Linked DNA regions of Daphnia pulex. The protein of the gene in region 2 purifies or fractionates together with the protein of the main gene of each other region. This does not show direct contact. Links are inferred from orthologs where the notes say so. Each region holds a gene or a part of one and is shown on either strand. Other genes may lie near its edges.

Region 1 (3,027 bases), on a different chromosome or scaffold from region 2:
GAGCAGGTGAACGACGGGCGAATGGCGAAACAGAAACAAACAAAAATCCTTAACACAACTCAAAAAAGGAAAACAAATGGGGGGGAAACACACATCAGAGGTCGGTGAGCTGTCCGAAAGGACTAAAACAAAAAAAAATTAAAGCCAAGCCACCCGGACGTCTTGGTGCCACCGGGAGTAGATAACCTACTGCGGCGAACTGGGAAAACGCCCCGGCGCAAGCGCAGCATAACTCTCTCGCGTCTTTCCCCCTTTTGCATCCATCGTCCCGTGAGCTGCGTGTGCAGGACCCCCACTAATGGAGAGAGAGAGCAGCCAGCTTTTCCACGTCGTGCAGCCCGGCCCCTATATACAAAGAACGATCAATAATAAAAACCCCAGGTCGCTTTTGTGCGGCCGTCAAGAAGAGGAACGCACTCGTCGTACGACTATCTGACACTTGTGGCGTCTTCTTCACAACTATTTGTTGGCCACCACCTGGAAAATAAGACGAGCCAAATGTATATCGACCCGATGCACAGAAAAGGTTCCCTCATCACAGCGGGGCATCGAACAGGAAATAATGCTTTCTCAAGTGTAATCCAAGACGTTCATTTGTCTGGCCAATGTGGGATCGCATGACCGAAATAAAGCGCCACACTACGGCATATGTAATAATGACATTCGATCTAACACAAGGTCAAGTGATACGCCCTCTAAATGGATATTGTTGGAACGAAACTGGAAAAACACAAAAATTGATTGGAAGAATAAACATGGTTTTTTTTACGGATGAAAACAATTTCCCATGATTTTCAAGATATGATGAAAATTGTAACATGAATTGAAATGATTTTTTTTTTGTTTCATTCAACAACTGAAGAAGCTAGATCATTAACAACAACTAAAAGGTCATTTTCCAAATTGACCAGTTGTCCAGTGTTTGCTGTCTTGCTGGCAATCAGACTTATTGTCAGCGGACTCTTGTTCATTTGAATCACCTAGTACAATCAGGAGAAAAAGGTTTCACAACACTTTCTTAAATAGTCTGTAATTGAAAATTGTTATACCTGATAATTTGAATAGATAGAAATGATTTTGTTATTTTTTCCAACTCCAAGCTTTCCAGCTTGATCTGTTGCCCTGTGGAAATCACAAATGAAAAATTATGTTGACTTGTTGTGTGGATACGATTACGTAGCTAATTGATTTCTACAAACAAGCCCTTACATAGCTGAAAAGGTGGAAAGGTAACTTGGTCTAAGGGCCATCTCGGGTGCAGAATCAAGGGCCACTGTAAAGATAAAAACAAATCGGGAAATGAATTTGAGATCACAATATACTGAATATTTACAAACCTTTGACTAGAGGCACACCATCTCGGTCAGTTATAATAATTGCCAAAAGACCGTCCACTCTGAAAATAGGGCAGTACAAAAGATAAACATAGTTTATAAACCTATCAAGACTTTTCTTATATAATCAATGGTAGAGTTTAGCCATGTTTAACTTACCGCTGTAAAATGCACGCAACATATTTTCGCAATTCCTGCCGAAAGAAAACAGAAACAGTTTTTTAAAGAAAGATTTAAGAAAAACATCGTTAACTGACAAATAAATTACGCCCACAAACATTACCTCCATTAGTCAAGTCTGTGACTTTTTTATGAATCACAGTTCACAACATCAATAGCAGATTAGCAGAAGAAGTCAGCAAGTGTCAGCAAATATTTATTAACAAAAGCGCCATCTAAAAGTCGGAAAATCAGTAAATTAATGTTTCCATATGTCACCACTAGATGAGTTTGTTGTGATCATTTACTCTTAAGCCACGTAACATCTGATGTACTTAAAATGATACATTATTAATTATAATGAAGTGTATTATTTTATCGCGTGTAATCGAATGTTTACAATTGATATTTCATGAACTGCACTTCGTGATTCATTTATCGCGCGTAATTTGCAAATTTCCGCGACATCTAGCGAATTGTTTGATAGCTTATAATCAAAACAAAACATAGGAGGGTCTTGTTTTGACAGGGCGATCCCGCCTACACGTTTTTTTTTATTATTATTATTATTTTTCCGCTTCCCCGTCATAAAACTTTCTCCAACTATATATAGTCGTGATTGGTTTACTCAAGATATCTGACAGCCTTAGAATTCGTCGCTGTGATGTTTTAATTCCTACAAACTGCAATTAATCAAATACTATTTAATATCATGGAAACCATTCCACTCTCTCCAACCCACAAAAAAGCAAGATTTGGGAACTGTTGTTCTGGCCAACAAAATGATGGGCTAAGAGTGATTATCTTTTGCTTTGGAGTTCTATGCATCTGTGTCACAATTGCATTAGTTATAAGCATCTATCTAGGAGATCCTGAGGTGTGTATCCATTTTTCTACTCAATGACAACATTTATACATTCCTGCTATCTACACAACAAATTAATATTGAAATTTCACATTTAGATACTGCCACGAGGTGCAGTTGCAACAGACAGCCAGCAATGCTCTCAAATCGGTGTTGATACCCTTCAAAAAGGGGGTAATGCAATCGATGCAGCAGTTGCAGCAATGTTCTGCATGTGTGTTGTCAATCCTCACATCACTTCACTTGGAGGGTGAGATCAATATTTTGAAATGCAATGCTTGTCATCCCTGCATCCTCTTTCAAAATCTATTTTAAAATTAATGTTGACAGTGGTGGAGCTATGATTATACTCAACCACCTGACTTCAAAGCCACCAATGGTCATCAACTTTCAAGACGCAGCCCCCGGACCAGTGAATGCGTCTTTGATCGTCAACGGCCAAGGACCCTTGGCTGTGGGAATCCCCGGTCTTTTGAGTGGCCTGTGGGAGAGTCACAAGAAATTTGGCAAACTGAAGTGGGCGGATCTTTTACAACCCTCCATCCAGTTGAGTAATCTCGGGATTAACGTGTCATCTCAGCTAGCTGGGGCGGTGCAAGGAATTCCGAGTGATTCTCCCTTGCGCCGATCCCAGCTCTTCTTTCCCAACAACATCCCTCTCGCCGAAGG
Region 2 (4,214 bases):
GTCCCTTATCTTGCTCCTCTAGGGTTTAACTAACATTCTTATTTCTTAAGGTCCGTGATCACTTCTCAGTTTGTCCTACATCTAGCGCAGTCATCGACGAATTCGGTACGCACAAAGCGGTCTACAAGAAAAAGTCCTGCATAACCGTAAATTGCATTTTTATATTTAAATAGTCAAAATTATTAAAATTTATGTAGTATTAGTTGAACTTAATTTAAAATAAGAAAATTATTATTTTGCTAACTGACAGATTTAACTGAGACAATGGTGTCTTCACTATGCATTTTCATTCTTTTGATTACTCTGTGGATGGTGTCGTATCCGGTTGAGGCCATTGATTGTTGCGAACCGCAATCCAGCGGCAACTGTTGGGATGAAACTCCGGGGGATCCTTGTTGTGGCTCCAGTGATTGTGACCAATTTTGCTGCAATTGCCGTGGAGGTTGTCGTGATTGGACGGTCCGAAAATCTAACGGAGAGCAGGAAACAACCCTTACGCAAAATATCTTTTTTAGATAATAGATAATGATAAGATTAAAAGTATCGATTTGGCCAACATTATTACCACATTTTAAAAAAATGTATCCCCATTCTTGTTTGTTCAGTAGACGCTTTTACTTGAATCATTGCTTGTTAACTTATTTAATACTAAATATATGATTCACCACGATTAACTGCATGTGACCGTATTTGTATTAAAAAGATGATAATGAGGCCTATGGGGCTCTTCGGGATCTGTTTTATTTAGCCGATTTATCTGGCAACGCAGCATGGCGCCAGTCTTTTTTGAGGGAAGAACGGGGAGAAGAGGGAGAATGGGAGGACGCCCTCCTCCCTCCCACTCGTCCCATTCTCCCTCTTCTCCCCGTTCTTCCCTCAAAAAAGACTGGCGCCATGCTGCGTTGCCAGATAAATCGGCTAAATAAAACAGATCCCGAAGAGCCCCATATACTGTTAATGGCGCACTTTCCATTATCATATCAACATCTGTTCTAAGACGGATCATTTGTTTTCTGACTAAAGCAAGTTAATCACGGCACGTGACGCAAGAAATCGAGAGTCTGGCATTATATTGAAAGCTGATGAAATGCATGTTGTATGCAACAAATTCCAATAACATATAAGAAAACGAGATGAAATTTTAATCCGCCCCATAGTTCTGTCACTTTGCGCTCGGTCATTGACCTACTAACTACTAGTACGTCTTTTTTTAAAAACCTTTTTTAAAAATACACCCAAAAAACAACACAGAAATTTTGTTGACAACTTTTTTGGAGGTCAAATTAAAATATAAAATACGATAAAATTATGTCTAGGTTTAACAAAGAAAAGATTTTGAGAATTGTTTTGTATTGTTGCATTCCAACGGACTAGCCGGTGCGATAAGGCTTCAGAAGGCTTCACATGTTTTGTAGACATCCGTCTGCTTGCTTGTCAAAGTTCTATGGGTCTCACGAAAACAAGTTCCTTCAAACTAGTCTTTGTTTACTTACCCGACCCATCGGTTGGCAACGAAGTTATCAGAATTAGTTCTATAATTAATTTAAACAATGAACAGAGATGTGGACGTCATATTACCAGATTCAGACGTAGCTAGTGAGGTGACACTAGATTCATCATCAGATCTTGGCAGGTAATAAAATGAATTTCTCGTTGCATATAATCAAATGTCGGCTAATTGGCAATTGCTTGTGTTTTAACCACCAGATCTTCGCCAACGTTAAGAGGAATACGAGTTCGGGATGCCAATTCAAAACAACGAACGAGACGTCCATTCCACTTACAGAGTACCATTGCAGCAAATCGTGCTGAATCCCCTGTCTTGATTGATGCTGTACCATACGATAATGCTCAGGAAGCTACTTACTCACGCTATAAATACTACCAGAGATTAAGAGGACCCACCATTGGAAATGATCAAGCATTGGTACAAACATTAGGTCTTTTTACATGAGACAAATAAGAGTTGCTGTCTCATGGTAGTATCTAGTTGGTTTTAGGATAATTCCTTTGATGGTTGTCAAAATTATTTTGTTTAGTTGATACCTGATCATGTTGTGCCATCCATCTTTTTCTACCCATACATTCCTGGCACAGTTCCTTTAACTGGCAAACAAAGCAGTTTAATAACTATGTAACTAAATCATTTTCCAACTTTTATTTTTTTATACAAGATAAAGCTTGTAATCAACATTCAATTCTTTTTTTAAATTTTTGTAGATTTGCAGTTTGGAACACAATGATGGGTACGTCGTTACTCTCAATGCCATGGGCTGTTGAGCAAGCAGGACTGGTAGCTGGATTGTCACTGATCCTTGTCATGGCAGCCATCTGCTTTTACACTGCCTTTTGTATCCTTCAAGTTTACGGCATCTACGGTATATTACTTTCGGTCATGGTATCTTTGAATGACGTAATTCAGTTTGGTTTTTATTGCAGGTGAGAAGGAAAATCTTGCGGACTTTCCAGATCTCTGCATGTTCCTGCTGGGGCGTGTCGGTCAATGGGTTTCCGTTCTCTTTTCGGCACTTTCATTACTTGGGGCAAGTGCGGTGTACTGGGTTCTCATGTCCAACTTCCTCTATCATACGGTCAAATACGTGTATGGTAAAGAACTTCAATTTTATACGATCTAAAATTTTGAACGGTCGAAAAAATCTTCAAAAATATATCATTTGTTTAATCAAACAGATCTGATTACGACGACGACGTCTGTTACCCTGTTGTCCGTGGACGATGACAATACTTCGGCGTTTAATCGTGAGTTTCAATAGGTTATGTTTATTTGTTCTTTTATTTACATTTTTTTTTTTTTACATTTAACAGTGTTTTGTCCGGATCCGATCGATAATCTGACTTTCTCGTCACTCCTGAATGGACCGATATTCCAGAATGGAGCTTCTACCTTTGACAAAATTTGGAATTTGGATCTGACTGTTCCTATTTACATGGCTCTCCTATTGCTGCCCCTAATCTGCCTAAAGTCAGCCACCTTTTTCACCAAGTTTAATGCACTGGGCACAGTCTCGGTATTCTACATCATGGCATTCGTTGTCACCAAAGCGTCCCAATGGGGAGTGCACGTCGAATTTAGCGACACTACTTCACCCTTCTACGTGCCTTTGTTGCGCTCCAACTTTCCGGCTTTGTCGGGCATGTTGTCCTTGGCGCTGTACTTGCACAATTGCGTCGTGAGCATCATGAAGAACAATCGGCGCCAAGAGTGCAACGTAATTTTTACATTTCTCTTTCTCATTTTGGCCTTACATTGAATAAAATTTTTCTTTTGTGTTTTAGGGCCGTGATTTGAGTATCGCCTACACCCTGGTAGCGCTGACTTATTTAGGTATCGGAGCAACTTTCTACCTCACATTTCCCCTCGAGAAGGATTGCATCGAAGACGTAATTGAAAATGATTCGTTCATTAAGATTTCGAGGAATTAATTTAATTTTTTTCTTTTGGGCTTTCTAGAATTTGTTGAACAATTTTTCGCGTTCGGATACGCTAACCGTTATAGCTCGCGTCTTTTTGCTCTTTCAAATGATGACGGTCTTTCCGTTACTCGCTTACATCCTGAGAACGCAGATTCTGTACGCTTTCTTTAATTCCATTTATCCCAGCTTTAACCACGTATTTTCTCTCAACGTGATATTGCTGTCCGTCTGCGTTGTATTCGCCATCTTCTTGCCGCAGGTCGGCACCATAACAAGGTACGCAAGTCGAATGAATTGATAACCGGGTTTCCCATCGCCGTGCTAATTGGTCGTTTATATTTACTCATCCAGATTCTCCGGCGCTTTGTGTGGTTTGGTCTACGTCTTCACACTACCCAGTATATTGTACGTCGTGTCTTACAGGAAGCAGAATAACGGCCGAGCTCCGGCATGGGTGTATATTGTGCACGGTTTTATTATGTTGTGTGGTCTACTAAATTTAATTGCCCAATTTGTCGTCACCAATTGATGGCCGCTACGCTTAGACAGGTCGGTTCCGATTTCAATATATAACGTTCTCGTATCGTTTATTTTTCACGTTCTCTTTCAAACATCACCGACATCTTTGAGAATCTTTTTCTCGAGAATCTTGAAATCTTCCATGTACGCCTCGCGATTGCTGTAGATTAATGGGGATTCAGGCAGGTGGAGCTGTGGGGCAACTGGGGCGGGTTGCAACATTTGGGCCATGGACAAACGGTGATGTACTTCACTATCCA
Region 3 (2,763 bases), on a different chromosome or scaffold from region 2:
GAAATGAGCTTTGCCGAGAAACTTTTCCCAAATGAAAGTGATTCTGCTTTAGAAAAAGAAAAAACACGTCAAGACATTCAACGATTTTTACAACTCGTTGAAAACCATCGTCGAATCGAAAAAGAACGCCTGCAGCAGAGCGAGTTTTTATTCCAGTAATTGATTATTCTTTTTGGATTATTTTAAGTTCATTTGTAAAATAATATGTCGAATATCTGCCTTCACAGGGAGGAGGCTAAGCGAATGTGGGAAAAACGGGAATTAGAGTGGGAAGCCGAAAGGTTGGCTCGAAAAAAATTAATTGAAGAGGTGATAGCCATTCAGGAGAAGCAGGTAAGTCTTTAACAGTTATTTTGAAAACGGTTAAGATGTAATTTTTCATCATGGTTCTTGTTGCTTATTTAGATTGACCAAAAAATAATCGCTGCACGACAAGAAAGACAGCAACTGCTGCGCGATCGAGAAGAGCTGGTTCATTCACTCGAGAGCTATCATAATCAAGCAAAGAAGAAAGAAATGGAAAATAAAGCTAAACAGTTTCAAACGAAAGTAGATCTTCAGGCTCAAATTGATCACAAACAGCAAAGAGAAGAAGAGTTTAATCATCTGGAACGGCAGAAGCGCAAACACCAAGAGCTCATGGAAGCTGCTCACAACGAAAAACATTGGAATATAGCCATGGACAAATTGAGACTTTAAAGCGTAAAGTTGACGCACATTTCTTGTCATCAAAATGATTCATATCTCGGCTCTAATTTTCTCGTAATTTTTAAATGTTTACAAAATGTGTATTTTTAAGTTACAGCTTATGTCATTCTATCACAGCTATTTTTCGTACTTTTTCGTATTTCAGGAAATATATGGAGCGATCGCAGAATGCCAGTTTATTTCTTATTGTCAGTGTCTAAATCGTGAATTCCTCTGCTCCCGATCAGTGCTATATTTGGATGAAAGTAGCGGATTACAGTAGAGAAAAATTTGTTCATGAAAAATAATTGAAGCTATTATTAGATTTCTACAAAATAACATGGATATACTTCCTGCTTTTGTTCAGTAAACGTGGAACGCGCATTGCAAAGGAGAAACAGTGGAATTTTCCCTTGTGAATCCGTATCGGTATCACAACATCGCGATATGTTTTACCCTGGTTTGTCTCCCAAAGCAAATTAAATCTGAATCCCAATTTTTCTCTGTTTGCTATCAATTATTAACGCGCTGCGCGCTACCCTCAGAAGTCTTACCAAATCATCCATGCCAAATCATTCGAGCTGCTAAATCCTGCCACCTAGCGCTACCATCCAAATTCTGGCCAAAATAAAAAACTAAAAAAAGTAATGTTATAATAAATTAATAAGATACTACTAAATTTCTTTTCACATTATTGTTTTTTTTTCTACGTTTTAAAAAATCCAAATCTAATGTTTTACAATGAAATAACAGAAATTGCAATAAACAGCTGCAGTTGACAGGCCTTGAGGTGAGTCAGTTTGACTACATTGTTTTGACTCTCTGTCTCTGACAGGCTTCCCAAGTTCCACTTCCTTTTCTACTGTGGCAGACTGTAGATGGTTAATAGGTGCTAGCAAAATAAATCAACAAGATTTTGTTAGCCTGTCGGTTTCTGTTTCTGATATCCTTCAGTTAGTTCCTGTTTATACAAAATACCATTGCTATTATGGATAAAGAAGTTCAAAAATGTGTTGAAGAATTGTAAGTAAATCAGAAATCGTTACATTTAAAAAACCGATTGGAACATAAAATTGTGTCGATTTAGGATGACTTCGCCTGGAGTAGTGGGCGTATTGTGTGCAGACAGACAGGGCATGTGCTTAACGTGTAAGACAAAAGCTTCTTTTTTGAAACACAATTGTTTTTTTATAAATATGAACACATTGTTTATAATATAGCACAAGGTGTTGCCAATTCAAACTACTCCGGCTCATTGACTTCTCTGTCACATTTGGCAACAACATTAGAGCCTGGGAAAGGAGATCCTGTCATTTTGTTTGAAAACCATGAAAGGTATGGTAACAATGTCTTTCTATGTTATTTTTATTTTCTAAGTGCTGATTTATTTTTAACTTTTTCTGTTTCTGCAGTCAGTGTTTGATTCATCAGAATATGGGAATGACTCTTGCCGTCTACAAAACCAATACATAAATGCAAAAAATCTGAGAAATCTAAGTTTTTGTGTAGATATACAAATAGGTTCTCATATATTCTTTATTTTTCTTAGCATTCAAACTTTAAGCCACATGATAAAAAAAATAAATAAGAACCTTTGGTATACGCCTTCGGTTCAAAATTTGTGCTTTAGCTGCAGTGGTGTGCTCGATTTCGTTTGTTTCTGTTTATTTTTTAAAAGATGTGGGCCTATTTTGTGTTACAAATAGTAATTTCCTAATGCAATGGGAAGAAAAAGTGAAAATATATCATTGTGTACATATCAGAAATTCTAGAAATTTTCATGAGCGTATACGTCGTAAACAGCAGAAATTTTTAACTGCGCTATACCTAATTACCTGTAGCTTTTTTTTACAGATTGCCTTTTTTTTTTTTTTTTTCAAGGTTTTTTAAAAATAAACGATCCGCGGTTATCCCAGCCTATGGGGGGGATCCTTATCCGTATAGTTCATTTTCAGGAATCTGGAAAGGGAGTTGAGAAATAAAGAATAGATATCCAATGCAGAATCGCAAGACGATTAATTATTGCCTGACCGAACTCCGCCTGTCTGGGAAATAGTCTGGGAAATATTATGAAAA

The links.
Region 1: the proteins of sodium-coupled neutral amino acid transporter 9-like (region 2) and ragulator complex protein LAMTOR3-like purify together in Homo sapiens (affinity purification with mass spectrometry; 3 studies listed by BioGRID and IntAct, with this or other methods). This does not show direct contact. The link is inferred for Daphnia pulex from reciprocal best matches to the Homo sapiens genes SLC38A9 and LAMTOR3.
Region 3: the proteins of sodium-coupled neutral amino acid transporter 9-like (region 2) and ragulator complex protein LAMTOR5 homolog purify together in Homo sapiens (co-immunoprecipitation; 5 studies listed by BioGRID and IntAct, with this or other methods). This does not show direct contact. The link is inferred for Daphnia pulex from reciprocal best matches to the Homo sapiens genes SLC38A9 and LAMTOR5.

The regions. Positions count from the first base shown.
Region 1 is NC_060018.1:11,755,999-11,759,025, forward strand, and holds ragulator complex protein LAMTOR3-like, read right to left. Parts: upstream 1,722-3,027; 5' UTR 1,624-1,721; coding exon 1,618-1,623; intron 1,529-1,617; coding exon 1,494-1,528; intron 1,397-1,493; coding exon 1,338-1,396; intron 1,274-1,337; coding exon 1,210-1,273; intron 1,123-1,209; coding exon 1,050-1,122; intron 981-1,049; coding exon 846-980; 3' UTR 561-845; downstream 1-560. Other genes in the region: glutathione hydrolase 7-like, read left to right, coding at 2,206-2,370, 2,457-2,608, 2,689-3,027. UniProt on the Homo sapiens protein: As part of the Ragulator complex it is involved in amino acid sensing and activation of mTORC1, a signaling complex promoting cell growth in response to growth factors, energy levels, and amino acids.
Region 2 is NC_060019.1:7,950,109-7,954,322, reverse strand, and holds sodium-coupled neutral amino acid transporter 9-like, read left to right. Parts: upstream 1-1,408; 5' UTR 1,409-1,550; coding exon 1,551-1,633; intron 1,634-1,707; coding exon 1,708-1,927; intron 1,928-2,039; coding exon 2,040-2,134; intron 2,135-2,220; coding exon 2,221-2,378; intron 2,379-2,439; coding exon 2,440-2,607; intron 2,608-2,691; coding exon 2,692-2,760; intron 2,761-2,826; coding exon 2,827-3,230; intron 3,231-3,297; coding exon 3,298-3,402; intron 3,403-3,472; coding exon 3,473-3,711; intron 3,712-3,786; coding exon 3,787-3,964; 3' UTR 3,965-4,023; downstream 4,024-4,214. Other genes in the region: dynein axonemal intermediate chain 3-like, read right to left, coding at 4,042-4,214.
Region 3 is NC_060023.1:5,836,349-5,839,111, forward strand, and holds ragulator complex protein LAMTOR5 homolog, read left to right. Parts: upstream 1-1,494; 5' UTR 1,495-1,675; coding exon 1,676-1,710; intron 1,711-1,774; coding exon 1,775-1,836; intron 1,837-1,907; coding exon 1,908-2,022; intron 2,023-2,099; coding exon 2,100-2,160; 3' UTR 2,161-2,172; downstream 2,173-2,763. Other genes in the region: trichoplein keratin filament-binding protein-like, read left to right, coding at 1-155, 228-333, 406-699. UniProt on the Homo sapiens protein: As part of the Ragulator complex it is involved in amino acid sensing and activation of mTORC1, a signaling complex promoting cell growth in response to growth factors, energy levels, and amino acids.